Drosophila melanogaster: one gene and its partners. The protein of the gene in region 3 purifies or fractionates together with the protein of the main gene of each other region. This does not show direct contact. Each region holds a gene or a part of one and is shown on either strand. Other genes may lie near its edges. The genes, in order: UQCR-11, UQCR-Q, ox and UQCR-14.

What was found.
Region 1: the proteins of ox (region 3) and UQCR-11 fractionate together in Drosophila melanogaster (co-fractionation; one study listed by BioGRID). This does not show direct contact.
Region 2: the proteins of ox (region 3) and UQCR-Q fractionate together in Drosophila melanogaster (co-fractionation; one study listed by BioGRID). This does not show direct contact.
Region 4: the proteins of ox (region 3) and UQCR-14 fractionate together in Drosophila melanogaster (co-fractionation; one study listed by BioGRID). This does not show direct contact.

What each region holds. Positions count from the first base shown.
Region 1 is NT_037436.4:25,115,874-25,124,176, forward strand, and holds UQCR-11 (Ubiquinol-cytochrome c reductase 11 kDa subunit), read left to right. Parts: upstream 1-4,875; 5' UTR 4,876-4,945; intron 4,946-5,004; 5' UTR 5,005-5,028; coding exon 5,029-5,112; intron 5,113-5,170; coding exon 5,171-5,344; 3' UTR 5,345-5,498; downstream 5,499-8,303.
Region 2 is NT_037436.4:17,473,470-17,481,866, reverse strand, and holds UQCR-Q (Ubiquinol-cytochrome c reductase ubiquinone-binding protein), read right to left. Parts: upstream 6,819-8,397; 5' UTR 6,732-6,818; intron 6,648-6,731; exon of another isoform or gene 6,543-6,647; coding exon of another isoform or gene 6,480-6,542; exon of another isoform or gene 6,458-6,479; 5' UTR 6,448-6,457; coding exon 6,273-6,447; intron 6,217-6,272; coding exon 6,122-6,216; 3' UTR 5,743-6,121; downstream 1-5,742. Other genes in the region: CG6333 (uncharacterized protein), read left to right, coding at 1,002-1,622; qjt (quijote), read right to left, coding at 1,804-2,505; CG13733 (uncharacterized protein), read left to right, coding at 3,061-3,918; CG34250 (uncharacterized protein), read right to left, coding at 5,241-5,298, 5,396-5,556; CG46525 (uncharacterized protein), read right to left, coding at 6,480-6,542; SecCl (secretory chloride channel), read right to left, coding at 7,489-7,731, 7,796-8,175.
Region 3 is NT_033778.4:12,756,465-12,761,769, reverse strand, and holds ox (oxen), read left to right. Parts: upstream 1-4,240; 5' UTR 4,241-4,340; coding exon 4,341-4,472; intron 4,473-4,538; coding exon 4,539-4,574; 3' UTR 4,575-4,637; downstream 4,638-5,305. Other genes in the region: Nacalpha (nascent polypeptide associated complex protein alpha subunit), read left to right, coding at 1,255-1,908; Dgkepsilon (diacyl glycerol kinase epsilon), read right to left, coding at 2,252-2,371, 2,427-2,744, 2,801-3,808, 3,867-4,025; mRpL18 (mitochondrial ribosomal protein L18), read right to left, coding at 4,656-5,216. UniProt on the Drosophila melanogaster protein: Component of the ubiquinol-cytochrome c oxidoreductase, a multisubunit transmembrane complex that is part of the mitochondrial electron transport chain which drives oxidative phosphorylation.
Region 4 is NC_004354.4:16,284,433-16,292,730, forward strand, and holds UQCR-14 (Ubiquinol-cytochrome c reductase 14 kDa subunit), read left to right. Parts: upstream 1-1,855; 5' UTR 1,856-1,977; coding exon 1,978-2,017; exon of another isoform or gene 2,018-2,132; coding exon 2,133-2,180; exon of another isoform or gene 2,181-2,243; coding exon 2,244-2,491; 3' UTR 2,492-2,556; downstream 2,557-8,298. Other genes in the region: eas (easily shocked), read left to right, coding at 1-329, 590-671; CG32576 (uncharacterized protein), read right to left, coding at 1,658-1,702, 2,726-2,807, 3,526-3,704, 3,793-3,884, 3,951-3,975; caz (cabeza), read left to right, coding at 4,519-4,525, 4,595-4,726, 4,794-4,890, 6,625-6,659, 7,509-7,678, 7,763-8,211.

The DNA of each region.
Region 1 (8,303 bases), on a different chromosome or scaffold from region 3:
ATTGATTTTATGTCTTATTTACAGATACCTCACAGCAGCGACTATTCTCTTAAAAAAAGAAATGCTATTAATATGAGTTCCACACTAAAACGTGATTTCTTTCAATGAGACGAATTATTCTTGTTCACACTGTGCCATAATAATGTCTTCATTCCAACGATATAAACTACCATAAGATTGTCGGAAACAGTGGAATCTCCATAATATATGACCACACGTTGCACATCGATCCCTCTTGTCTTGTTCAAAATCATCACAATTTCGGTTATAACAAGGAAGCAGTTGGTCTCCAAGTAGTCTGCAACCTCTCTCACACAATCTTGGTATATCCTTGAGGAGGGTATATCGATTTCAGTTATAAGCTTGCAACGAAGTGAAAAAAGCATTTCAGTCCAATTAAGTGGGTATAAATATCAGTAAGAACAGCCGTACCCTTTTTCACGATAATTATTCTTTTAATTTTTAACATATCTAAATCGGTTCACCATATCTTAAAGATGTCATATGAAAAATTTTAAAGCTACCTCTCTTGTTTTTTAAAGGTTTTTAAAAGCAACAAAGATTTTATGATACGAACACTTTGTGCCTCCGATTAGTTTTCTTGTGAGGGGATTTGAATGGGTGGTCAGTTTTACTAGGTATTTTAATTTTCTTCTCAGTTATTATTTCGATAAATAATTTGATTTTTTTCTCTCTGTGTATGTCTTCGTTCCGAAGGTATCACGCTCTAGTCAGAATTCTCAGAATTGTTGGCTGTTCTCGCTGAATGGATGCCCCACAGGTCGGAGCCATAAGTCCAGATTGGTTTTAAGACGGAGTTGTATAGGAGAGCTTTGAACTCCACGCTAAGTGGAGAGCGAGCATGAGCCAGTGAAGGTTCCTTGCATCTTATTGCGACTTCAGTAGCTTATGTATGTTTTGGAACAATAGCTTGGCTAGTTTAAGCAAAAGTCCATCCAGAAACACTGTCAAATGCCTGCGCGACGTCTAGTAAAATGGCTGTGTAATATTCTCGATGCTCAAAAGCAGTACGAATTTCTGACGTGATTCGATTGGCCTGTTCGATGGTTCCATGTTTTTTCCATGACGAGGGCTTATTCCCAGGAGTAGCATTTTTTCAAATAAATTTTAGAGATAAGTTAGTTACTGTATCGGTCTATATGATGATGGCTGCGTTTTATCTTTTCCTGGCATTGGAATCATTACTATGGTAGATTTTTTCCATTTTTGAGGGAAGTATCCATGCTTGGCGATTGCGTTGAACAACAAGCACATGTGCAGAACATCACACTGGGAGTTCAATAAGGATTTTTTGAGTTATTAGGTCGAAGCCAAAATCGCTTCAGTTGCTTTTTGATAACCTTTGCTAATTCACATAATCTAAGTTTGCTTCTGCTAAAGGAGGGAGAATAATGACTTTATAGCAGGATTTGGTAGAAATAAAATTTGTAAGTGGTCAGCAACTGCTCTGGCTCTTTTCTCATCACTGTCTTTTCTCTACAAAAGGTTCTTAGTGCTGGTGGGCATACGTCACTTTGCACCCGAAACTAGAATATTTTCAACAGTGTCCGTTGACTTGTCTATATTTTCCTTAGCAGATAATGCCGGCGTTAGTTCTATGTGTGATCTGGGTCTGGGATTTTTCTTGGGTCTGCTGGTCAGTATGTATTGGATAGCGTGGTGGGCAGTAGACTGCGGCTAGAGTCATTGAACCATTGTTGAGTAGTTAGACTATGGACGTAGATTGAGGTGGTTTTTATGCGATTTCTGATTAGTATGCCAGTGCCTCCAAGAGCTTTACCATCTGAATGATTTGTGAGGTGCGTTTCTGATAGTAGCATTACTCCAGTGTTTTTTTCGGTAATGAACTGTGTGAGTTCTTGTGTATGAAGTGAATAGATATCCGTAGGGAAGCCAGCATGGGGATTTTGAAGATACAAGAAGTTGTATCAGGAAATTTTGCACGTTTTGATCGTTATGAAATATTTCATGCTTTTCTGTAGGGATAGCATCATAGCTTCAATGCCACTTTGTTCAGTTTGTTGCATATTTGTCAATTTATGTTCGGAATGAGCAGTTCTAGTCGGTGAGGCGGGGACTTCTAGTCCGGATTTTAAGGCGCTAGCGAAGAAAATTCCAAGAGTAGTGCTTGGGACAGTTAAGGGTGGTTGAAACATCGAATGCGGAGAGCAGAAATTGACTTTGTTGTATGTATTTGCTATACGTTAAACCACACAGCAGTATGCCTTGGTGTGGCCGTATTCTTGGCAATCGCCTTCTGCTTTTGTTTTGGTTCTTTTTTTACGTCCATTATTGTTGTTGCCAATGGTCGGTGTTGCAGAATTATTTACAGCTGGCACAGCGATTAGTTGGGCCGCTAACGAAGTTGTTGTTGTGGTAGCAGTGACAGTTTCTAGGGAGGTCACTGCACTTGTTATTGCAGTGTTACAGTTACCCGGAATGTTCGATTGTGGCTGTGTGGGGAGCGGTGTAGGAGAGGCGGTCTTTTCGCTCCGCGAGAGCAAAAGCTTGTTTTTCGAGTTAGTTGAAGGTAAGGGTGCTCGATCATCGAATTGCCCCGAAACGAAAGCAATGTATGCATGGTTGCGTTGTAAAGAGAGACGGCGCTCAACTTATGAAGGCATTATTGGCAGCTTGTGTTACCGCAATTGGCGATTCTAGTTTTAAGGCAGATGGTTCGTCAGTAAATAACTACTCGACTGACATTACTGCTGCCATTGCTTGCAATGTCGTTGAAAGTCAGTCGTGCCTAAACATTGACATTTTCAGCTGAAACATATTCCTAAATCTGACGCTCGCGGACCCAAAGTGTCATCGTTTTCTACCCATAGACTTAATGATTGGCGCTAGTCTCTTCTACGAACTGCTGTGCGTCGGTCAAGTCAATACCACATGCAATTCTAGTGTCTTTGGTCGCACCTACACCTTTGACTTGGAGTTCTGCTGTTTCCTCTGCAAATAAGTCGCTCTCCAATTATTCATCATATTCTTTAGTAATTTATGCATAAACAATACACGACAGCGCCACTCGGTCGGTTGGGCGGGAGGTGTGGCCGTGGGACCCGTGCAATTGATAAAAAAATAAATTATCGTTCGAGATCGCTGCATAGAAATCGTCTTTTCTTTGCAAATAGCTAATAGAAGAGCTTATTAGTTAAACAGTATTAGTTTTGTAAATTTCTAACGGTATTCCTAAAAACTTTTTGCCACGCCCACAAACCGCCAAAAACTGCCTCGCCCACACTTTTTAAAAATGTTTTTATATTATTTCGTATTAATATTAGTCTTTTATCGATTTTGCAAAAAAAAAAGTTTTGCCATGCCCACTCTAGCGTGAACAAACCGCCCAAAACCGACCTTACCATTGAAAAATGTTTGATTCTTCTTCGTTTTATTGTTTGTCTTCCGGCATTTTAATCGGCATACCAAAGACACTTTGGTCACGCAAACACAAACAAAACGCCCAAAACACACTTTTGAACCATTTTAGGTTTTCCTCATTTTTTAAAATTATTCTAGTGTCTTTGTTTACTCATGCGTCTCTAATGTCTCGAATAAACTTTGCAAAGAAGCATCGAATCTATTTTCTGTGCTTAGAAAAGGGACATATGGCGCGGTTCTGTAGGATTGATGGAATTTAGTTTACTGTGGGCTTACAATCCTTAACTGGTCTGCTATGGAAGAATTACGAGGTGAGGCTGACAGGCAGCTATAATATGAGGGTCATCAACATTGACAGCATACAGAGAAATTGAAAATGGCTATGTCAAGATGATACGTACAGTGACAGTGACAGTGTCTGCCACACTTCGGTGTCGAAAATCCAAATGAACCTACCAAAATACGTATAATCTACGTAATCTATAATGACGCAGCCAAGTCCCGGGATTAGGAGCTGCTTCAAGGTTTCTTGCAGTACACGTTCCTGTCGGAAGTGTGTGTACTTCAGGGAAGCAGCAGTCGGGGTCTAAAGATGGCCCAGGAATTGTCGACAGTCGCACTGAGGAATTTTATAAGCTGCCGTGGACCGGTGGCCAGATTGAGGAGTCAAAACGGAGAAGATGTAGAACGAACTGTCATCAAATTAAATGGAATGAAAATTTCAATGCCGGGCAGGAGGCGTATGCGAGCGGATGGTCCACGGGTTGAAGAAGGTACTCGCGCATACTAATAAAAAAATTAAGGTTAGTTTCAAATATTTTAGGTCTTTTTATTCTGCTTTTTACCACACTATGGTTCCTATTCAAATACAAATTACAACAACTATTCAATACAAATTTTATTTGTGTGTGTAATTTTATAGAGAACACGCATAGTTGTATATATCAATAAAGAAGTTTTCGCATCAGTTTTATGAAAACTTTCTATCACTTAAGCATATATTTATTTGATTGCTTTTAATTAGTTATTGTTTAAAAACTAGAGCAAAAAGAACCAAAAAGACAGAGAAGACAACTCTGGCCCACAACGAATTAGTAATTATTAATTTTCAGTAGATATTTTATCCACTTTTTTTATCAGCTTTTAGCTGATTGAATTTCGTTTTAAAAACACCACGTCATTTTTAAATGTTTGCCTCCAAAAACATGTATCAAGGGAATCAGGAAAAAATTATGAAAAGTTTTAAATAAAAGTTTATAGCCTAAAAAAAATTATCTGACCCCCGTCACGGCGGACAACTGGCCAAAAATTATTTTAATTGCTTTGATTGTACCTTGTGTGAACAGATTTTAACATCTAGGTAAAATTGCAAACGGTTCATAAAGATGTATTCTATTGGGGCTAGGCTATAAGCTTAGCTAATTGATATATATGCATAAAATAATCTGTTTTTGTTGGTCTGGCCCTCATAATTCAGGCATACATAAAATACATTGTGATTGCATCATAGCGGTCTTAAAGGTTATAGTTATTTTTCAAAAATGTAATTTACGTTCATATTCATAAAATTTGGTACTATATATGTTTTTGAATTCTGACTAGTTTATTCTCTTTTTAGCATTAATAATGGCTTTTAGGAACTGGTTTTCGCTTCCCGCCGTCAGAGCTGATGACGAAGAGGACTTAGTTGACCCTCAAGCAGTTTTAAGGGTAAAAAAGATTTCTTTACATCATTTAATATAACACTAAACTGATTTTTATGCAACAGGAAAAATGTCAAGCTAAAGGTCACATAGAATCCTTGTACAATAAGTACCAAGAGTGCAATGATCGTGTTAATGGGCGATCCAAAACAACTGAGACTTGCATCGAAGAATTATTTGACTATGTTGCTGAGTTAGATCATTGCGTTTCGCACAGTCTTTTTACAAAGCTTAAGTAAATACCATTAAAGTCAATTCCATTAAAGGGAAGGGCAGTGCTTAAAAATAAGAACATAAATAAACAAATCTCTTTATCGAGTTTTATACGTGTTTTGTGCCTTTTGGTGATCAGAACCTTTTAGAAGCGAAATTGGGTAGGTAATACTACACTAGTGGGCATAAGTATTTGCACGCCTTTGTTTTAATACTAAACCAAGGGTATTCTATTAAGTTGAGGGCTGGAATTTGAGGTGGCCAATCCAATGTTTTTATGCAAACATTTTTCAGAAACAGTAATCAGTTTGGTCTTATAACAGGGAGCATTATCATGCTGGAGTATGAAGGACTCTCCAATCAATTCATCATCATTATTATTAAGGACATCTAAATATTTTATTTGATTCATGTGTCCATCAACAGGAACCAAATCTCCCAAGACAGTGAAGGCTACGCATCCCCAAAACATAACAGACCCTACTGACTATTCTTTGACATTCTGGTGCCAGTTTTTTTCGATATTCCGATATCGAATTTTCGAAATTTAAAAGGTGGAACCATTTGCCCATGTTTTCCATTGCCAGCGCTTATGCAATGCATTTGCGCTGCAAATGTGTCTGTACGTATGTATATATTTATAATACATTGAAGTATTTGTATTGAGTAAAGTAATATGAGTTTACTGAGTGGGCTTCTTTTTTATTTTAGTTTATTTTTATTGATATTGTTTTCATTAAGTGATGCCATCAACTATGAATAAAAAAGTTTTAACGTGTAATTATGAACTACTTGTTTTTTGTTTAGTTACTTAATTTCATAACAAAACTATCTCCCACTGCTATTTTTATTTTGTTATGTGTAAGTCATTATTTTCATTATTCTTTCATTTATACTCTTCATGCATAGTTCTAGTTTTCTTATATGGTACTTCCAATCTTCATTTACTTTCCTTCTTTCCTATATGATAAATCGGCTGCTCTGCCAAAAACTATATGGAAACTATAGAACGGGTTGTATAAAACAATGTACGAAATTCTGAAGCCACAGGTCCCAATCAGTTTTATCAACTGATATGTATTCAACTGATAAGTTTTCAGATGGTGGTGAGCGGTAAATGTTAAATTTTTAATTTTAAAATTTTTGCAAAAATCGTTGATTATTGAGTGCTTATACTCTGTACCCATGAACGTTTTCAATGGACCGTAAGTCAGGATAAAGGATTCGAAAATTGAATTAGCGACTTGCGATCTTATATAGTATTGGTATTGCAACTAAATATTTAGTTAAGTTACAAATAAAGGTGACTGAAGACTCATTACCATTATCCGACTTTGGTAGAGGAGGACCTATATTACCCACTATTACTTTGTCGAAAGCATAGGGGGTTTCTGTTATTGGGGTTTTCCGTATGCTTAGTTATTTTATTTTTTTGCATTTTAGACATTTCTTGTTGTAGGTTCTGATTTCTTTAGACATACCTTCTAAGCCTTTGAAATGTCATATCTTGCAGTAATTGTTTTTCCTTGTTTAAAAAAACAACATTTTATTTACTATCACGTTTTCTATCGATTGCATATGCAAGGATGTTTTGTGCGTTCCTCCTGCGCAATATTTTTGACTACTTTGTAATCGTGAAGTGACTTTCATTATATTACCAGTAATGTCTTTTAATTCTTTGGTGGTTATTCTTTGTAGCGCATCAGCAAAATAATTTTCTTTTCCTCTGAGATCAACTGTAAAACTATATTCCCCCAATTCAAGTCTTATACGAGTCAACTTTGAAAACAAATTGGTGAGTGATCTACGATCTGCTTTGACTGTAAAATGTTTACCGTAAATATAGGGTCTAAAGTGGGTTATTGGTCAATGTATTGCTTTTAACTCCTGTTCCAATCTGCTTGTATTGCTTTCACCCTTTTTTACAAAGAGCCTATTGGCCAAACAACCAGCGCGACAGGCAGGTTGGAAAAGTTTGCAGTCATACGACGAACCAAAATTCGGGGGCGGTTAAAAAAAACCCCATTTTGTTAGAACTCCAATGTTTGTTAGAACTCAAAGTGGTTTCTTTAAACAAAAGCCACACAAAAGTGCAGGTAATGGGCAAAGCCAACTGGCGCTAGAGCCAATGGAAGTTGACCCCTCCTCCCGGTCCAAACAAACTACAAGATGGTAATGAGGGCGGTCAGCACGGTCTCAGCAAAGAAGATAATGACTTCGTTGCCCAAGCAAGCGCCATAGAAGTAGAGGACGAACTGGATGCAGAGGATCGTGAAATTTTTTAGGGTAAAGTTCCCTAACATTACACGTAGGGTGGCTGGAGGAGAAATAAAACTATTACTCGATACGGGCACCTCAAAAAATTATATTACTCCTCTCCCGGGACAGAAAAACCCTTTACTGTATAGTAAATCCATGGCCAAAATTAATTAAAAATGTCTTGTTTCGGTGTTTAACGTAAAAACACCCTTTTTTATTCTGAACAATTCTAATTCTAAACAATTCTAAACAATTAAATGCAAAACTTGATTTTACCAGAAATGTTCTAAATACTAGTAACGGAACTGAAAAGATCCAGTTTACTAGGGCAGAAAACGTTAGCTTCATTGAAATCGATGATGAAGACGTATTAAAAACTCCTTCGATAAAATGATTGTTAAAAATCACAAAGCCTTCGCTGACCCAGACGGGGCATTACCATTCAATATAAATACTATCGCCACAAATAAAACAGATGGGGAGCCAGTATATTCAAAATCATAGCCGCATCCCATTGGTGTGACTAAATTCATCAATGCAGAGGTTAAACAACTTCTAGCGGACTGTTTAGTAAGGTCATCTAAAATAACTTTACAACCCGACCTGGGTTGTAGACAAAAAGGGAACAGATCAAAACGGGGTAAAAAAGTAACGGCTAGTTATCAATTTTAGAAAACTAAATCAGAGAACAGTCGACGATAAATACCCTATCCCAACCATTTTAAA
Region 2 (8,397 bases), on a different chromosome or scaffold from region 3:
TGAAGGACTGTGAATCGAATTATTCGAGGAAGTTGCTTGAATTATGGCTCAAGGGGGTACTTTGAATTTATGAGTATTCAGGATATTAAGAATGTCTTTTTTTTCGCCGGCCAGCACCATCCATCCATCTTCCACACCCCGAAAACCAAACGAAATCCGCTTCCTGCTGCCAAATAATTTACAACTTGCGAATGCGATGCACAGGCTATGGGAAGAAAACAAATAATGATCAGTCGCACATAATGCATGCATATATCCATGGGCATATCGATAACCCTTATCAAGTGTGCGGCATCGCGGCCAAAAATATACAAATTATGCTTACCAAAAGGCAGAGAAAACATAAATCAATGGTTTTGGAATACTCTAACCAAGACAGCAATGTATGAAACTTCAAACATTTTTCCTTATTTCCAAATTTACTTAAGAGATATTAAGATAAGTATACAAGAAGTGCAAATTTGTTGTACCTACTTAAATATTCATATGCATACATGTATGTACATACATATATGGTTATTTGCGTGTGGTTGGTCGCCTCAAGTGATGGGCGTGGCACTTTCAACTCTGGTTCAACCCATACAATCATGAAAACTCTGACCAGATCTTGCCAAAAATGAGCCCACCTTGAACCTGAGTTTATCAAATTGCAGTCATTTTGCTTGTGGTTTTTATAGTACTTTCAAATAACTGAGATTAGTTGGTCAGTATCGTTACAAAAAAAAGGGTAAAAGTGATCGACTTTTTCACTTTCCGCCAATTTGAGGATATTTGCAGAGATTTGAGTGTTGCATGATTCATAATCGAACATTTATATCATAAAAAAGTAAACAGTTCAGTTGCTTATTTATTACGCAGAATTGCCTTAAGAGTTCAATTAACCATTAAATATTTTTAGAGGTGAAACAACGTTTGCCCTCACTTAATCGACAAAATTTGAACTAATTCGAATAAAATTAAGAGTCAGAACGAATTCACGAGTGGCTAAATTATTGTTTAAAATGACCAAGGGCGTGAGGATTTGCAACGATGGATTGCCTGGTTTGCCGAATGAAAGGCCATATTCCCGAAGAACTTTAGATACGCGGCAAAAGACTCAGAAGATGTCCTCCAGGCCATCTAGGAAACCATTGCAGTCTCTACAAACTGTCGGTCGGAATACGAGTTCCAGCCTGAAGCGCATAGGAAGTCCGATCTCCGAGGAAGAATTTGGTGTCCTGGTGCAGCAGGATTGTAAGGCAGAGCAGCATCACACCGATCGCCAAAACCTGGCGGACATAATCCTTATGCAGGCCCGTCGCATCGAGAAGCAGCAGCGGGAGATGAAAAGAATAAAGGCGCACTATGAGCGCCAGGTGTCCACCATCAAGAACAATGCCATCATGCTGGAGTCGCATCTGCAAAAGGTGCTGGCCAGTGTCGAAAGGGATCGGGCCAAGCGGATTGGCCACCACTGCCAGGACATGCTCGGTGCCGTGGAGAAGCTGCAAAGGAGCGACATCCAAGTGAAGCCGCAATCTTCGGCCAACCAATTGCTGATCCAGTATCTTCACTCCAAGAAAATTTCGCATTCGACCAAGAAGTCCAATGAAAACACAAGTAGGTACAGGAATATGTTGTGAATCGTATTCTTGTGTGTACATTGTGGTTTCACTGGGTTTTGTGGTCAGCTTAAATTAGCATATATGTGTATTAATAGAAGTACAAGTTATTATAAAATAAAATAATGGCAACAATGAATTTATTTTATTTTACTAAGTTAATTCTCAACAAGGACGGAGTTGGGCACAATCATTATCTGTTCTATTCCTCGTCCTCCTCCGAGGCAGTTACATCCACGATCGCGTTAGACATGCTCTGTTGTATCTTTTGCTGGACATTGGCGTCCTGGACCAGGTGATCTGGCTGGATGTAGCACAAGTTGGCGCAGCCGAGCACCGGGCATCGGATGCCAATGCGGTCCATTATGATCGGCATCACCGAGTCGCGGTCGTAGATGTGACCGCACATTTTGTTGCGCATGGGGTTCTTTATCAGGGCCTTGGACCAGGGATCGTAGAACGAGAAGACCTCGCTGCCGGAGTCTTCCATAATAAGGTCCTCATCATAGGCGGTGCCATTCGCTTGATCATTGACTTCCGCACCCGCCTGACCAGCTGCTGATTCAACTGCTTTTACGAAGTTCTTGAACTCGTGTAGATTCTTGACATTGATGCGCTTCTGCTCCACCGCTTTGGAGCGTTCCTTCCAGACTTCCTCGAACTCCTCGATGGTGGCGCTAGAGTTTTTGACCTGATTCATAGCCTTGTTGAGCGATTGGTGCTTTATCTTCATATGGACTACATTCACGGCGTGCTCCACGCTCTGCTCAACGCTCTGCTCGAGCAACTTCTTGATCTTCCCGCCATCGCTGAAATCGGACACGAAATCTGACATTTCCTTGAAGAACTTTTTGTTTTCCACTAAAGTGGAAAGTGCGGAATCAGCAAGGTAATTGAATTCCATTTTATCCAGAATATTTAAGCCAAATGTTCAAGACTGATGGTTAGTTAGGCTAGCCTATTAATTAGTGGTCTTTGAATGGACTTATATTTATAAATAACGTTGATATTTACCTGAAATTAGGTTTTTAAGCAAATGCCACGTGGAATGTAATCGCTTAAAAACTGGAATCATCGAGAATTTATCGTAATTTACGATATCGATCTTAAATCGAAAGCACAGATTTTTCGGTTTTCGTTTCGTTCGAATTTTTCGATTTGTAAAACGGGCACTTTTATCTGGTCGAAATAAAAAGTAAATGCCTTTTTTTTATATCAAATCAGATCTTATTTACAGGGGAACAAATATCGAAGGTTGCCATTGAATTGCGTAATCAAAAAAAATTTCAATTACCGGAGCATGCTTGCATAACAACGTTTTATTTAAGTTTTTAAATGTCAGATCTCGGATTCCCCACTGAATGCCTTCAAAATCCCAATAGACACCCCAATCTTGAAGCAATTTTCCAATAGACAAGCCGTGTGTTTTGGACTACCAAAATTTCATTCGTCCAGCGCGATGCCATACCACGATCGAGCCAAAGCCCGATTGGAGAACGAGGTGGTTCTCCTGCGGAGCGAGGTGTCCTCGCTGCGCTCCAAGCACAACCAACATCGTAAGTATCGGCAGGAGCAGGTGGTTCTGCAGGCGCGTATGGAACAGGAGATCCAGCTTCTACAGAGCGAACTAGCCGCAGCTCAATCGAATCGGAATGAGCGGGAGTGCGGTGGAGCCGAGCAGTGTTCAGTGTTGAGCCAGCAGCTGGAGAAACTTGACGAGCACGTGGCTAAGCAGGAGAAGTACATTGCCTTCCTGGAGGAGCAGATCAATCTCACACGTAACAAGTACCAGCAACGTATGACCGAAGTCCGGCAGAATGCCGAACTGGTGGAAAAGGAGATGAAGCGGGTGCGCCGCGAGATGAAGACCATTGCCGAGCAGGCTGGGGAAGTGGACAGCCTCAAGAACCAAGTCGGTTTCCTCACCGCCAAGCTGGAGCGCCGGAACGCCATCATCTCCAGGTACGAAGCCCAGCAGGAGGAAATGATAAGTATCATGGCAAGTCTCCAGAAGAAGAAAGTTAAAAAAACGCGCCATCAGAAGATTCACAACAACCATGACGATAAAGCTGATGTCAGATCGATCCCTTCCGAACAGCTACCAATGCCCAAGCCGAGTGATCAAATAAAGCATCGCAAGAAACGGAAATTTGGCGAAGGCGATAAGGAAGATTCCAGCTCGGCGGGCTCTGATAAGCCACCAAGTTTTGAGGCGAATCCCAGGTCTTCAAAAATTCGATCCCATAACTTGGACTGCCTCTCCTCTGCGCTGAAAAATAAGTTAAGTAACCAGCAACAGTCAACTGTCGAGGGATGATCTGATTTCGTACCCATTATCTGATGGATATTCAAATTTATGGTTTTTAGATAAGCTTTTTACAAAATTTCTTCTGTAACCGAATATCTCTGTAAAAATTGTTATGTACATACATATATAGATCTCTTATGAACAGTAAATGATTAAACTAACCAAACGGAACTTCAGTCAGCACTTCGTTTTCGACGGGCGTCGGAGTTCCTGGAACTCCCGATTTACAAGTTCATTGACAAGCTGCTGGATTATCCATTCAGCAGTATGGAATCGGGTTAATGATCCGGCTTAATGGATGGCTTTATTTTGATTTATTTTGTGTGGTAAGCAATAGCTTAACTGCATTTGTTGGGAAAGTTTGAATGATCCGATGATGTAATTAATACATATGAATATGTATTAATCAATCAATTATTATTGTTTAATGCGTAAGTTGTGCTTGTAATAATGGTCATTTATTCACGGAAATTTCTAAGAAATGCATATGTTCTCTGATTATTATAAACTAATAATAAACTACTAAAGATGTAACTTTTTTGTTTATATTAGTAAGCTGTGAAGTTAGGTAGATTTTCAGGCTATATGAAGGATTAGACAGTTGCAGGACTATCAGTTGATGTTTAAGAATATTTATGGGATCCTTCATGTTCGTATAAGCAACACTAATCAGAAGAATAGGTAGACTTGTCTCAGTGGCTTATCCGAGGGCTTAAAGGTAGTGCTGCTATTTCTAGCCCTGCAATCAAGTCACGTTCGCTGGGTGTTCTAATGCAATATTTTAGCATAAGAGCACGTACCGCAGTATTGCATAAATTCTGAAAGTGCCGGGCAATGAGTCAGTACGGGATTGCAGAATGGAGCCAGCTGAAGTCGGGCGTCTATTGAATTCTAATGCTGCACCAGGAAGTGCGTGCAGACATTGGGCAATCAATCGCCGGTCAATTGGAATCGTTTGTGGATAGCAATTGAGTGTGATTGGATATGGCTTCTACTCCGGCAATTGGGGCAAAAGTTCAACAGTTTTTGGATGAGAATGCCTGTTCCAAGTAGGACTTACTTCGAGTATTCGAATAACCTATCTTATCGCAAGACAGCTTGCCAAGAATCACAGTCGCCTGATGATGAAATTAACAAATTCTGGGCTCTATTTTTTTCTTCTTTTTTTTTGCACGATCCGTGGAAGTCTCGGGGGCAGTCAAACCAGTTCACCCGGCCTTCGAAAACAATTATATTTTTGGGGTTGGGCGTGTTGTTGTGCAAACACCTACGAAATAACACGATGACCCTGAGACCGAAAAAAGCACGAGTACGTTCTAGCACCCAAAATATTACACATATAATGTACGTGACGTCACTGCCTCGAGGAGTGCTCCAAAAACCATAGAACTGAAACAAGATGCAAGGTGGCTTGTGGTAGTTATTATTAATCCTTAGCGTACATTACATTATGAGATATATTAAACACTAAACTGGATCCATCTACGTGACAGAAAAGCTGCGAAAATTGTTTTTCAGCAGCATGACCACGAAGAAAATGCCCACGGCAATCGACAAAAGCTGCACGTTGACCACCTTTGAGTCCACCAGGGCCTGTAGCATGTTGTGGATACTTTCGCTGCGCACTTCGTTACCGCAGCAGTCCATTAATGCACTAATATCGGATCAATAACCAATTAGAACGCCAATATTTTGCTTGCAAACAGCTGTGCGGTGGCTAGAGGTGGGGCTATTTACTTTTCTCACTCATCGATTGTTTCGGGTGACTTTCGATGATTGATTCTCTGCAACTCTAGCGGGTGACTATCAATGCTAAGACCGTTACCGAATATTAAAAACAAGTAAAATTTTTATTTTATTATTAAAACGTAATATATTGCCTCCATGTCGTGTTTTTTCTTTGAAATTCTCATCATATGAATTTTTTGTTATTTTATTTTGAGACATTGCAGGGCGAGATAGCTTGGACTCAAACCAAGACTGGGGAACAGCTGATGCAGCTGCTCATCCAGAAAAACAAATTCTCTCTAGAATTGTTTAGCAAACAGAGCAATAAAACTGATAAAATAGAACATAAAATTATCCCATGTGTAACGTATGAGTACAAAGCCTTTGGTGTTTAGCCTTCCAGCAACCGAAACACACAACTCTCTTGAACTGTGGGTTTAGTTTTATTAATTAGTTTAACATAACTATCTGCTAGTTGGGACGCTTATTCGTCGTTCGCGTAGTCAGCGGGGTTCTTGCGCAGCAGGGCGGTGTGCTTGCGTTCGGTCAGATCGTAGATCAGGTATCCCACGATGAAGGCTGAAAAATTGGGTATTAGAATACGATTCGACGGGAATCCTGAGCGATTTACTTACGGGGAGTAACGATGAAGACGTTGGAGCGGAAGCGACGCACCATGTTGGGCAGTCCCTTGCTGATCGCTCCAGCGAAGGCGCGCTGCTCGAAGGGCGACAGCTTGTAGGTGACGATGCCGTGCACCTTGGCCAAGTTGCCAAAATGCTGGCCATTCAGGATCGAGGATAGACGCATGGTTGTGGGGCTGCGGATGGGGAAAGCTTTGATTAGCAACCGCAGAGGAAGTGCACCAGGATTTGTATGAAGACACAGATCGTTATTATAAACATTATGGCCTAGGTGGTGCTCCTATATTTGCTGCACCCGGAGGTTATGTAATTTTCGCACTGCTCCGCGGATGAAGGCGGCCGAGTACGTCTAACACTGGGCGCGATCTCTGCACTTTTGGCAGCCCATAATTGTGCATATTTTTAGAGCCAGCACCTGCCATTGTACCGATTATGATGCCAAATTTTTACCTTGAAATTCGACTTTTACGCTGCAATTTCCTCTCGACTCGTCTCAACCAGTGTGACCGTGGACGGGCCGCTTGAACATACCAAGCAGTTAGGCTTTATTTTTGAAAAATGTCCTAAAAGTGCCGCTTTTTAAGATTGATGTCTTGGACAGAAGCTAAGTGCAGGCCACCACCAGAATGTGTAACTTTGTAGACTTTCAGCGTGGACTTGAACCTAATTTGTGTGGATAGCGGATCTTTAAACTATTAGTGGATTCTTATTAAAATATAACAATAAAATAATGTAAAACATAATTGCTTACCTTTGCCGTAATAAAATATGTGAGCGGCTTAAAAACTTAAATTTCGTGAACGAAAAGATTATATTTATTCAAATTAATAGACAGAATAGACACATGGAATTGTAAAATCGAGGGCTACTTATCTTTTTAACTTCATTTTCTGTGATTAGGCATACAAAGTATTCAAACTTGCCCACTAAAGATGGCACATTCATCTCAATATATGTAAAATATCATATAAATAATTTTATTGTATTCAAAATGCATTAGATTAAAATGAGTTGTCAAGCAAGAATACTTTTCCTGCCATTATTAGCCTTTTATACGAATGTTGAGATATAGTTTATACCTTTATTAATGATTAACATTTATACAGCTATGAGATGATGCATCTTACACTTTAACAATTATTTGCGCGATCAGGACTACGCAAATAGACAAGATTTCACATAAACGGCGGCATCTGCCTACATCCGCTTACAAAACATAGACGAAGGTCCAATACAGAGCGTTGAAGGCGAGGAACATGGCCGGAAAAAGAAATCGCGACCGCCGGTCTATCCACATGGCGATCTCCTGCGGTGTCATGGTGGTAAAGGTGGGCGGCGTGTCCTTTTTATCCTTGTCCACATCCACGATATGATCGTTGTTCGTACGCGCACTGCAGATAGACACTGTATCTGCCTCGGCGCACTCCGTTCTTATGATGGGTAAATTGGGCTAAGGACATGAGAAATGTTAAAATACAGAAAGCTCATGAAAGACATCGATCTGGAGTACTTACATGCACTGTCAAATAGTTGTTGAAGCCCTGATTCACAGTGCCATTGCCATTGCGCACGCTCTCCGTGCTGGAAACAATGTTGTCCAAACTGGAACACGATCTAGCCCTGGACTCGTTGCTCAAACTTCCGCCAATTTGACGGCGGGCCGGTCGTGGTGTCAATGTGGATTTTATGATGTACTTGCTGTTGACCTTCTTCAGCTCAATGTTCTCCTTGCGGCGCCAAATGGTGTTGACAAAGGCAAACTCCACCAGGCTGCCGAAGATGAAGAAGGTGCAGCCCAGGAACCACACCTCCGACACCTTTATGTAGCTCACCTTGGGCAGGTTCTTGCTCTGCGATGAGGAAAGCGTGATGAACGACAACATGGTGCTGGTTCCTAAGAGCATTGGATATTAGTTACAAGTGAGTCATATCATAATCATTTCGAGTTACTAAATTCTTTCTAAGATGTTGTAATTATTCCTTTAATTTAAGCAATCATTTATTCTATGACTCAACATGACGTATGCGCAATGTTCTAAATGAATATAACACATACGCACTGTGTTGCAGGTCAACAAATTAATTATGGATTTCGAATACGAAATGTTGCTTAAGT
Region 3 (5,305 bases):
TATTATCAATTTCTTAAGTTCATGTAAAAACTTATATCGAATATCCAAGTTACCTTTACAAATACTAGTATAAATGACAATAAACTGGTATCAAATTTTTCTCGGTGAACTTCCTCTAACAAAGTCAGCGGAGTCAAATTTGTAAGTGAAATCATGCACCGAGTGTGGAGGCACTCGCCTTATCAGGCATGTTCAATTAATTAAATACTCCTCCAGGCGTCTGCACGTGAAGGAGCACTTCGAGAAGCGTTTGTAGAATGCACTGGCAAACTGAAGATCGTCATCTTCAAGTGACAGACTGGGTGGGGAAGAAAAGCCGTCAAACATTCGATTGTGAAACCATTCATTCGTTTAATTTTACTATTTAAGCAGTGCAGTTATTGCTAGTCACTGCAGAAATTAATCATGCCACTGAGCCTAATCTGTGATGTTCCTTTCCTTCCCTTTGAGTAAGCCACTTAAAATGTTGCGGTGTTATCAATTTGTTTTTAATGTTTTTCTTTTATGTAAAATTATAACTGCATTATCAAAAACTAAAATATTACGTTAGTAGAAGATTGCAAGCAAAGGTGACCCAAACAGTGAACTACACCTTTGAAAAAATATTTAACACTTGCTTTGAATAATTACGAAAAAGAACTAGTTTCTTGGGATATTATTGCTTTTTAAGCTACTCCCATAATTGTTTATAGTTCGATTATTTCAGCAAGCCTTGATAGTCAAATTAAATTATAAATTTTTAGTCATAGTGCTTTACTATAGAGGTGAAAGATTAAAAATGTATTTTGAAACTGTCATTTTTTTGAAAGTAACGTAATTATGAAATAGAGTAGCCACAAAGTTTGAATTTGTCATACTTCATACGCATACGTTCACACTGACAGAATATATCGCTTGGATTTAAGAAAAATCGTGCTAAGCGACAGTCACACTCCCCTCCGCCATATTTCTTTTCTTCGTTTCCGGTAGGTGTGTGTACTCCGCATTTTTCGACTTCAATTTAACTTTTGCCGAAATATCAGTGAATTAGCGCCTTAAATTATGTAAAATATCATAGTTAAGAGTTAGATCTACGGGGGTAGCGAATTATTGATTTTCCAATTGAACTTGAAAAATCAATACCAACTGACCCCCGCTGAGACACATCGCTGAGCCTTTGAACCGGCACCAGATGTTTTCCCTTAGCATAATTGATACTATTTGCAAAGCAATTACCTAACCTCGTGTTCTCCACTTGCTTCCCCACAGATTAAAATGCCCGAACTGACCGAAATCAAGAGCGAGGCTGCGCCCTCCACCTCCGCTGAGGCGAAACCCGAGGACGTCCGCGTTGAGGATGATGGCAGTGATAGCGACTCCGATGGTGGCATGCCTGGTCTGGAGGAGGCTGTAGCGGCCACCACACAGCTGGGTGGAGGTGCCACCGGTCTGCCCATCGACCTCGTCTCAAAGGCCAAGCAATCGCGCGGCGAGAAAAAGGCCAGGAAGATCATGCTGAAGCTGGGACTTAAGCAGATCCAGGGCGTCAACCGGGTGACGATCAGGAAGTCGAAGAACATCCTGTTCGTGATCAACAACCCAGATGTGTACAAGAACCCCCACAGCGACACCTACATCGTGTTCGGTGAGGCCAAGATCGAGGATCTGTCGCAACAGGCCCAGGTGGCTGCCGCCGAGAAGTTCAAGGCCCCGGAGGCTGCTGGCGCTGCAGACAGCGTGGGCGCCACCACATCGGTGGCCCCCATTGCCGAGGAAGACGAGGAGGATGTCGATGACACCGGCGTGGATGAGAAGGATATCGAGCTGGTCATCACGCAGGCCAACACGACGAGGGCCAAGGCGATCAAGGCTCTGAAGAACAACAACAATGACATCGTCAACGCCATCATGGAGCTTACTATGCTTTAGAGCGGGCTTCAGCGTTAGCTGCACTCCTGATTTTGTTGTTTACCCGCCTTTCGATAATACTGACCCAAATGTTGTGCATGCCCCTCAAGGGGCAGCATGTTACACCAGTCGAACATTTAATTATATTTCAAAAGATTGCGTCTTAATAAAAATGGATTTATTTCAAATCAAATACGATTGCGTGTATTTTTCGACTAGTTTCGGTTTTCCACTAGGTGGTGTGGGTGTCTTTACTTGCCTTGCTAACCGAATTCGATTAAGTATACATTGAGGTTCCAGGTTAAGTACTTTGAGATTAGGGACTGGCACATAAGGGATTCTATTCTGTATTAGCTATTAATGTTCAGGTTGCAGCCAGCTTGAGGACGCGGGCCTGACTACGCGAGGAGAGGCGAATATCCGCTGGACTCTGCATCCAGGGTTCGCCATCCGCCTGCATTGGCACGGTCTCCTTGACTTGTAGCTAAAAAAAAGATTGTTGGTTAACAAATATTCGGTTCCATCACTGCAGGGCTTACCCTTATTTGCTTGGCTTGGCCAATTCGCACTGGTTTGCTTATATTGCACTGCAGTTGGGCAATGTGGAAAGAGGAAACAATGCCGAACACCTCCATCATACCATCGGAGATGGAGTTTACAATGCGCACTTCACCATTGGCGTTGCTTAGCTCGCAGAGCTTGCAGCCAGCTCCCCATGAGTCGATATTTAGGAACACCAGCGCCTGCAGCTCAGGCAGTTGCACTGGCTTGTTGTCCAGATACAAGGTCAGCTTTTCCTCGATGTGTTCGCAGCCAGGTTGCATCACCTGTTGCGTTCCGAAGGTAAAGTACAGCAGCTGACGAGATGGATACATTAGTTAACGTTAAGTAAGCACACTAGATTGTAGCCTACCTTATTGAATATTCGACTGCTGAGCAGATAGAATCGAGATTCGCGCGTCTTGTGGAAGTTGTAAGTGATGTACGCATCCACACCTACACTGAAATAGTTGTACACATGAATCGTCTTCGTGGGATGCCTCTGAATAGGCAGTCGATAGTGCAGTTTCTCTATTTGCAGGTCAAAGCGGTCGAGATTCACGGAACGTGCTCGCCGTATGCTCCTAAGGATCTTCACCGGGTCGAGAACAGAGGGCGGCTCTGCTCCCCAGCCCAGAACTCGCGACAAATCGTTGCCGGTGCCCAGCGGCATGATGGCCACCGAGGGCTGGGGCTTGATATTCAGCGTATAGATTGTATTGAGCACCCAACCGATGGTGCCATCGCCGCCCGCCACCAGTATGCGACACGGGCGAGGACTGGCTTTGGCGGCCCACTGCAGGGCGTCCTGCGGACCCCTCGAGCCCAGTTCCATCACCTGCAGCGGATGCAGGTAACCGCGGAGCAGGGACAACACATTGGCACCCGTACTGCTGCCCGACTTGGTGTTGGCGATCACAATAAGCGGCTCCCAGTTCTCAATGTCTGGCGGCGTAATGCTGGCCAAGTGGAGCCGCATCGAGTCTCTGGTTCGGGCGGCCACAAAGCTGTATGGCGGGAAGATCATGTCCTTGAACTCGCCCAAGTCGCAGGCTTCCATGGAGTCAGCGCGAGTGTAGCAATCGTTATGATAGCACCGCTGACACCATGCACATCGCCATCCGTATAATCCTGGATCGGTGCTGACATGGTGATCCACCTCCTCGTTGCAGTCGGCACAATGCACTCCCATAGGCAGATTGCCATGCACCCACAAGTGCCGCACGGAGGACTCGTTGCGCAACCACTTGTCCTTGCACCGGTACTCCCTGTCCGCCCTCCGCTGGCAAGGGGGCGTGGCATGGGTGCACAGGCCGCAGCAGTCGCAAAAGAGTCCTGCGGAGGGGGTTAGCAGGATCTCGCACACATTGCAGAAGCAGGCCTAGAATGAAGGGCATGTATCCTATGGTATCTCTTTCGCGGCAAGTGAATCCGCTCACCTGTTCCAACACTTTTATTGATTTCCAGCTGTGACGTGTTTTGAAGGTGCTCACAAAGTCCTCGGAAAGCAGGCTGCGGCAGAAGGCAAAGAGGATACTGAGGGCCAGCAGGGATCCTATCAGCGCCTCCACGCTCAGCTCAATAGTGCCTATGTCCATGGTCCACGCAGATAAGGCCCAATTACGCTAAATATCCTGGTAATTTGGCATATTCACAAATCGTTTGTTTTTGCCCCATCGACCAGTGTGACCGCTTCAAAGACAACAAAAAACACCTTCGACCTCAATTAAAAACACTTTTCAAGAATAAGCACTAATGCGTAATTTCGATAGGCGGAGTGACACTAGTATTTAGATTCAGGACGTTTCCAACACTGCTTGTCAACTCAACCTAACAAATCAGCTGTGAGTTTGGCGTGTGGAAAAAGTTTGATTGGGAACAAATCGGACGTCTTTAACAAAAATCTAGCCAACATGAAGGTTATCTACAACACCCTGTTCAAGCGCACCTCCACCTACGCCGTGGCCATCATCGCGTCGGCCTTTTTCTTCGAGCGCGCTCTCGATGTCACGTCGGTTGCGATTTTCGAGGGCATCAACAAAGGCGTAAGTATAATCCTGTTATGTAAGCAAAGTTTCCTGGCCAAATCTCAAGATTTCCCCGCTTTGCAGAAACTCTGGAAGGACATCAAGGGCAAATACGAATAAATTAACATGATTTGTTGTAATTAGCAATAATAATCAACGTTTATTCTAAACGAAACGATAACTAAGTGTGGTTTCTTTTGGTTATTTTGATTTGGGTGCTTCCAGTGCGTCTTCCGACACCTCCCAGGGCTTCTCATGCCTCTTCTCATCCCAGGGCTGCTCGTTGGGCAGGCGAGAGGGTTCCTTGAAGGACACCCCATTATCCTGAATGGTTTGAAGCAGCTTCTGCAGCTTGCTACCCGGTACCGCCTCCACGTTGCAGGTCATTTCCGTGATCCCAGACTGCAGGCAGCGCTGTGCGAGCACTCTGCCGAGATTTACAAACGCAGATGTGTCGTTGGTCTTGTACAACTGCTGTTTAATGGCCCATTCCGAGGTGCTGGCACTCAGGATGGTTCCATTCTCAAAGTGCTTGACATCGCCGCTGACATAGCGGCCGCTGGTGTTGATTTCCAAAGTGTGCCAGTAGGAACGACCTGGTTTCTCCAGATGATAGCCTACCGGCTTGTAGGCAATGCGTAATCTTTCCAAGTTCCGTGGATTCCGGTTGATCACGTATTCAGTGCTGGCTTGCGGGGTTGTTAATTCCTTGATTTTGTGCAGTACACGGGCGGAGGTGAGGGGGCGAGCACTGCGAGACATTTTTGCGATGGAAACCCGAAAAAAGCGCGCGTTTAATTGATATTTATGTGGAAATTACAAAACCACGATAAAATATTTTGAGCTGCCTT
Region 4 (8,298 bases), on a different chromosome or scaffold from region 3:
GTGATCTATACGCAGAGCCTGAATACGGTGAACTTCATCGACTACGAGTATGCCGATTACAATTTCCAGGCCTTCGACATTGGCAACCACTTTGCGGAGATGTGCGGCGTGGATGAGGTCGACTATTCGCGCTATCCGAAGCGCGAGTTCCAGCTCCAGTGGCTGAGGGTCTACCTTGAGGAGTACCTACAGCGCAGCAACATTCAAAACGACGAAGTCGAACTGCTCTATGTCCAGGTCAATCAGTTTGCGCTGGCATCGCATATCTTTTGGACGGTGTGGTCCCTGTTGCAAGCCGAGCATTCCACTATCGATTTCGACTACGTAGGGTGCGTGTTGCATAGTATATGGACTGTAACTTTGAGTTGGGAATGCACGATGCAATTAGATGATAAATCCTTTAGATATATAGATATATATCATCAGTATATATATCAGTTTTGTTTGATAAGATCCATCAACAACCATTAGACGGCCATTATAATGGATTTATTATATTATTGTGCACCCTGCAATTCCTTTTTTCCCCCAATTACGACCCTTACAACCAATCGATACTAATGACCAATTTTTTATTCGCCCCATTTAGCTATGCATTTCTTCGTTATAATGAGTACTTGGCTCGAAAGGTGGAGTTTTTGTCATTGACTGCAGCTAAGAACAATAAGTGATTTCTCTCTCCCGGCCACTCAGCGCATTGGGAGTTACTACATTATGTGCCCAGTGATATATGTATAAACTAAGGCTGGAACGGGTCTCAATGTTATACATATGTATATATATAACGTGTGTTCAGAAATCAGAAACAAAAACCGAAACAAACTTAAATTAGTGTCGTGTTCGTGCCAGCCTTAGTGTATGTACAGTGCTCACTCGAAACAGTGGACTATTGAGAACCAAGGGTGTGCACTGAATCGAATTTGTTCACTATAACGAATCACAGAAAAAATAAACAATTTAATATATTTTTCAAAAACACCACGTTTGAAAAAATTTAATTTTTTTACTAAGTTAAGCGAAAGTTTCTAAAATTTCATAAATTAATCGTTCACTTTTACTAAAAAGTTCACATATTCGAGTGTTCACTCTTAAGGGAGGGCACTGTATATATAAAGAATTTGTATATGTTCTTTAATTTGTATAAATTGATATTTTGTAGTCATAATAAAGCGAAGGTATGTACTTTAAAATAAAAACGCTATCAATCATTTTAATGAAGGGTTTACCGTTGGCGGGGGCTTATCGCAAAAAATTGGGGAAATATTATTTAAATGAGAAGTAGGGATTTCCGCTTGTCGAAGCACTCCGCTAATTACCAACATTTTTGCCTTTTTTGTTTGCTGTTTAATATACAATACCCGTGTTGCAAGTTAAGTGAAAGTTGTATATCTTCAGGCATCATTTTTATAATTAATTTAATCGAGGTTATTGGTTAACATAAATTATAACTTAACCCAAATTAAAAACCTTTTTTGAGTGTTTCCCATAACAAATTACAAAAGGAGAAAGCCACAATCATTCGGTTTGATAAACTACAAGTATTTTGTTTATGAAGGCGGATTTTTACATGGGCTTAAATGGGTTTACAAGAATTTGAATTGATTTTATTTACTTTATACAAAAAGTTATTGCAAAATGACCAACTTTGGAGATGTAATTATACTGTAGTTCGGTTGCCGTCTCCACCAAGTTTTTGAACAATCTAAATACAAATACAAAAGGGTAAAATGTTAAAAGATAATATATTTAATAGCTCTAAAACTAAAGAATAACGAATTTTCTTGAGTGCGATATATCGATAGGTGCAGTGTGTCTGTATTACATTTCGGAAATCGATTTGTACAAACGCAACCGTAGTGCTCGTTGATCGATAACGGGGTGCGATAGCTATCGAGAGACCCATCTCCAACGTTCTCATACCTAAAATAAAAAGGCTGGAGGAATATCTCTTTCCCGACTTCTGATTTTACGTAAACCATGTCGAACTATATTGCCAGAAAGGGACCCGCAGTTCTCTGTAAGTAATACGAACGGGCAACAATCGGACTCACGTTGCATGCAACAAATTTCGTAGTGCAGTACGCCGGAATATTATGATTACGTAAATATGTAATGCGAATTTTTCCCCACAGCAAATCTGGGCAGATGGGCCTACAATCTCTCCGGATTCAACCAATACGGTAGGACTACTATATAACCTAGTGATTCCTAACAGCTGAGCTTGATGCCATCGATTTTTGCAGGTCTGCATCGCGATGATTGTCTGTATGAGAACGAGGATGTGAAGGAGGCCGTGCGCCGATTGCCCAGGAAGCTGTACGATGAGCGTAACTACCGCATCATGAGGGCCCTCCATCTGTCCATGACCAAGACCATTCTGCCCAAGGAGCAGTGGACCAAGTACGAGGAGGACGTCAAGTATCTGGAACCCTACCTCAAGGAGGTCGTGAAGGAGCGCGAGGAGCGTGAGGACTGGGAAAAGATCCACTAAACGCGCCACTAAATCCCTCTACTTTGGACTTGTAAATGTTGAAATACATAGCTTAGATAAATACCAAAATTGGCTATGAAATCGAGTCTGCGTGGTCGTTTGGGAATGTGGACCCTTCAGTTTATTTCAATGGGCTTTCGCGTCAAGGCGAGATGAGCGCGTTAAGTGATCATGAGTATGGGCTATTTGCTATGTTATATTTTTTATTTTTTGTGAGGCTCCATGCTACCTTACCTTTTGTATAAATGGTAAATTAAACAGCGATCCTAAAACAGGCACTCGGCCTAGGAAATTAATGGCCACGGGGAAGAAGCCGCTGAAAATATAAAGAGAAGGACATTAATAAGTAATAAGTAAACGACAAATCACTAAAAGAAGTTACTTCCACTTGTATTGCCATCTTGCACGTTTCGAAGTTAAGTTAAATTCTTATATTCACTGAATATTTTCCCTACTTTGAATAGATTTCCATTCATTAATCCGATATATATGAAGCAGACCTTTTAACGTTCGTTAAAAGATATTTTAATGAATAAAAAGACCTACATATATTAGGGTAATTATTAAGTTGCACCTTTGGTCGTAACTTATGAAGAAGCATGCAATTGAAAAGGTAAAAGGAGAGAGGTATAGATAGGAAAAAATGTATAAAAGGACAGAACAGAACAAAACAGACAGAAACAGCGAATAGTTATAATGAAGGACATACTTTTTGCTTTCTTTAGCTCTGATCAAATGCTATAAAATCTGATCGAGCTTTTTTTGTAAGCGAATCTGAAGAATTATACTTGGTATTTGCTGTTAATGCCACAGCGTCAAATTGTCCCATCTACATGACTTGCAGTCTTTCAATTAAAATATAAAATATTTCTAAAGGATGTCATCTGACAGCAACTTTGACTGCCAAGCCCTGACTTGCGAATGGTGTATTAAGAGCGGGAAAGCGAAAAGACCATGTGGAGTGCGTAACCGGTTAGCCCCGCTCAAATGGTCTTAAACGAATCCGACTGGGACTTGGCCAGGGTGCTACGAACCTGAAGAGTGCGAAAAATCCATAGGATTCAATAATCATGCCGAAGATGGGGAATCCCAGCAGGACGATGACGATTCCCCCTAAGAAGGCCGTTGTGCCTTTGACTTTGTGCCGTTGGAAGAAAAAGCGCATCGTGCGCTCCACGCCAATGACGCAGGCCAGGCCCGATATGAATAGAATCTGCGGGAAAGAGGCGATTGCTATTATTATAGAGCTCGAAGGGTGTGCTATATGGGGCATATGGTGCATGTGCATGTGGGTAACGTACATTGCCAATGGCGAGCAGTCCTTTATCGAACAGCAGCAGCATGCCGAGAAACAAAAAGAAAATGCCAAAACCAGCCAAGCCGATGCCAATTTCTGCGGGAAGATTTCAATAGGCGGTTTAGTTGCGCTGATGGCTTTCGCATATTAATGGCTACTTACTCTGCAAATCTGATATTTCAATCATTTTGTATTTGGCTCTGCTTTAATTTGATTTCAGAAAAAATTAAATCCACGTAAACACCAATTCAATTTCAAAGCACAAACAGCTGATTTCGACTTTCATTCAAAGTTACGTGCTAACGACTGTAAACAATGTTTGCAGGGATGCAAGCGCTTTAGTGTTGTAAAGCGATCAAGCTGCCGATTAATTATTTAAAACCTCTTGGATTCAGTCCATTTGGATGCAAATAAATGATAAAATGTATTAAATAAAACTATTTTTACCATTTAATACGTATTTTCCCACAAATATAATATTCGGCATATTTGTGTTCCATTCCCACACATTTCAATGATATATAGATAGATATTTCGATAGGCGCTACAAGACCCACACATACCAGCCCCCTTCGACGCACATCCCTAATTAATTTTCACACGCCATTTTACAATAGAATTTGTGACGATCTGACGCTTTCTTCAATTCGAGCAATTTGTACGCAGCGAGTTATTGAAACTCCTGCAATTCTATTGATTAAAAAAAGACTTCACGCAACGTTTATTAAACATGGAACGTAAGTATAATTTTAACACGCGCATAAGTCGCAACGTGAATTGAAAACGATGAAATATGTGCACTCTAGGTGGCGGTTATGGTGGTGGTTCGGGACAGGGATATAATAATTTCGCTGTCCCCCCACCAAATTACCAGCAAATGCCAAATAAAACGGGTAACTACAACGAGCCACCTCCGAACTACGGCAAACAAGGCGGTGGTAAGGCGTGCATGCGAACTTTGTGTTGCGAGCAACACACCAATACTCACAAACTTATGTTTTTAAGGTTATGATTCCGGTTCCGGTCATCGTGGTTCTGGTGGCAGCGGCAACGGTGGCGGCGGCGGCGGATCATGGAACGACAGAGGAGGCAATTCCTACGGGTATGTTATCCACTTTTAGTATTTCGCTGCTGTTGAGTTACAGCGAGGCTATTTAGATCATGGGTAGTAGTCTTTCACGGAGGTTTTTTAAGTGTTATAAGAGAAGTGTACGCATATATAAATATTTACAAATCAATCCAGCCAAACCAATGAGAAAAGACACCGAGCCACTCCTTGAAACATGAAGCGTATTTTAAAGATATTATTGAAATGCAAGAGATGCACTGTGCTGCATCAGAGTGTGAAACTGCTTGAAGCTATTCCTGCAACTACGACTTGTTCCGACTGCTTAAAAACGCAGAAAACATAAAATTATAACAACAAAAAAAAACGTATCTCCCAATTTGGCAAATTATTATTTATCCGCATGACTGTATTTCATGTACGTTTGTTTTTTTTTCATCGAAAATCTGTGTAAAAATATTAGAAAATGGTATTTCAAAATGGTTTTGACGAGTCAAATGAGTATAATGGTAAAAAAAAAAACAGATGATGCCCTGGGGAAACAAATATCTGCAATGCATAAATAATACTGGTTATACTGAATAAGTAATAATAAGTAATACCACAGTCGTTGCAATCGGAATAATAATGGTCGCCTAATGAAATCTATGATGAATTTGTGATAATTGCATAGAGAATCGCGCACATGTTATTATTATCGTTTTAAACCATACACTATATCATCCATTCCTGCCTTAATACGATACAATGCTAGCATAAACATGTTCCAAAATGAACATTCAAAAAATGTGTGTGTTCCCAACAGGATGGTTATGAAAACCAGATCAAACATGACACAAGTGTAATCGAAGATATAAAGCTAAAAAGAATATAAAAAATATCAACCAGCAATCATAAAATTAAATAAATTGTGGCTCGAGACAAAAACAATAAACAATAAAAAAATTCGATATATTATTAATGCACAGTTCGGAGGAATTGGTATGGTTCTGAGACTCTAATCATCTTAAGGTATTTACGTATACAAAAATAATAACAAATTTTAATTATTAGCTATTAAGGTTATTACATATGTTTATACACATAAGAAAGCAATGATTTTGCGCCTAAGAGAGAGCTTACCTCTAACAATCTAAATGTAAGATAGTTTTAAGCAATTTGTTTTATATAGTTTCAATCTCATTGACCGTTTTTAAGGTATTTTTTTTGTTTGTGATTTTAACAACTACTAAACTACTAAACTTTTGAATTATTTATCATTTAAGCTTGTTTTATAGTAGTTAAGCAAGAATGTAGGTATGTAGGTAGTGTTGTGTGTTTAATAACGATGGTATTTTGCTGCGATATACCTACTACATACATAAGTGTATTTAACTGGGTCGAACTCCTTCCTTCCCTCTCATTTCTGTGAATTTGGTAAACAAATGCTTTTCCAATAGTAGACTAATGCAAACGTTAAGATTATGTGTATAAGAGTTAGGTGTATGTATGGCAAACAGTATGTACGTTGTCCTCCTTGGCAGTTTGATCAGTGACTGCCGCCGCACTTGGCTCTAATTTTGTGATGGAAAGCAACAAAACGGACATTCGCTGTTTGAACGTCGTCGTCACTGACCGAACTGTGCCGGGTGCTCTATAGATGGTATTAGATGCCATAAGATCGAACAAAGCAATACGTATTCTAACAAGGGATCCTAGGCGTATACCTCACCATACTGCATTAAAACCAAAATCAAAGCATTAAATAAGTTATTCAATATCCTCTTTTAGAAATGGAGGCGCCAGCAAGGACAGCTACAACAAAGGTAAAAATAATGCAAACAATTGCAAACATATCGAGTAATGTATACCAATATTTTTCTACATATTGAACTTGAATCTAAAATCGAAGTAGAACAACAAAATTTTAAACACAAAAAAGAAAACCCAAACCGATTAGAACATAAAAACAGAGTCTAATTCCAAACCAAAAGAGTAAATAATTGAATATGCATATTAAACAAACATCCTCCTTTCCTGGCGGCATTCTTTTCATTGTGGGGCCTTGCCCATTTGAAATTTCGTCGAAAAGTCCACGCATCGTTACCTATAAAGTGTATTTAGCGTACTTTTCCAAATCGTTGATCTCTGTTTGATCAATATATAATGGTTAACGACCGACTCGGTCAGCCCACGGGTATTTAGTATTTAATTTCTGTAAAGTGTTGTATACATGTGTCAAAGCGTTGTCACGAATCAAATCAAGGGTTGGTCGGTCGGGCTAACTCCTGGCAATTTGGGGTCACCTGTTTGTGTTCTTGTGTACCAGTCAGTCTGGCTTTGATAGCTCAAAAGCCGACCGAAACCCGTTCAAAGTGTCCCCATGTCGTCTCTCCCACGGTCGTCCACCCACTAAAGGTTTTTTGAAATACACCTCAAAATTCTGGTTTCACATCTAAGTGTCCTGGTTAAAATGTCACGGAACAGCCGTCTACTTTGGTCCTCACCTTCGTTGCATTTTTTGGTGGTTGCAGTGAGGCGAGAAGTTCTAAGAAAAAAACAAAACAAAAAAAAGAAAATGAAAAAACCAAATATTAATTAAATAAAGTAGCAGTTGCATTCTAAGCTATACCCTGCCGTGCCAGCTCGTCCTTATTTCCCATTCGCTTTTGTAGGACACGGAGGATACTCGGGCGGCGGCGGTGGTGGTGGAGGAGGCGGCGGCGGTGGGTCCGGTGGCAACGACATGATCACCCAGGAGGACACCATCTTTGTCTCCGGCATGGATCCCTCGACCACCGAGCAGGACATTGAGACACACTTTGGAGCAATTGGCATCATCAAGGCAAGTAGTAATGTATTTTATGTATCTGTAGCTACGTTTTAACCTTTGTATCTTTCTATTCCTTTGCAACTGATCTAACAACAGAAAGACAAGCGTACAATGAAGCCCAAGATTTGGCTGTACAAGAACAAGGAGACCGGCGCCTCCAAGGGAGAGGCCACTGTCACCTACGACGACACCAATGCTGCACAATCCGCCATTGAATGGTTCGATGGACGCGACTTCAACGGCAATGCGATCAAGGTGTCGCTGGCCCAGCGCCAGAACAACTGGAACAAGGGCGGAGGCGGCGGCGGCGGTGGTGGTGGTCGCGGAGGATTTGGCGGACGTCGCGGTGGTGGTGGCGGCGGAGGAGGTGGCGGCGGCGGTGGAGGTCGCTTCGATCGCGGAGGAGGCGGTGGCGGCGGACGCTACGATCGCGGAGGAGGCGGTGGTGGTGGCGGCGGCGGTGGCAACGTGCAGCCCCGTGATGGTGACTGGAAATGCAACAGCTGTAATAACACCAACTTTGCCTGGCGCAACGAATGCAATAGGTGAGTTGAGAGTTGAGATATAATTGCTTTCAACATTCCATTCCATCATAATTCCTAAAACTCCACACTTGCTTGTAAATATCGTGG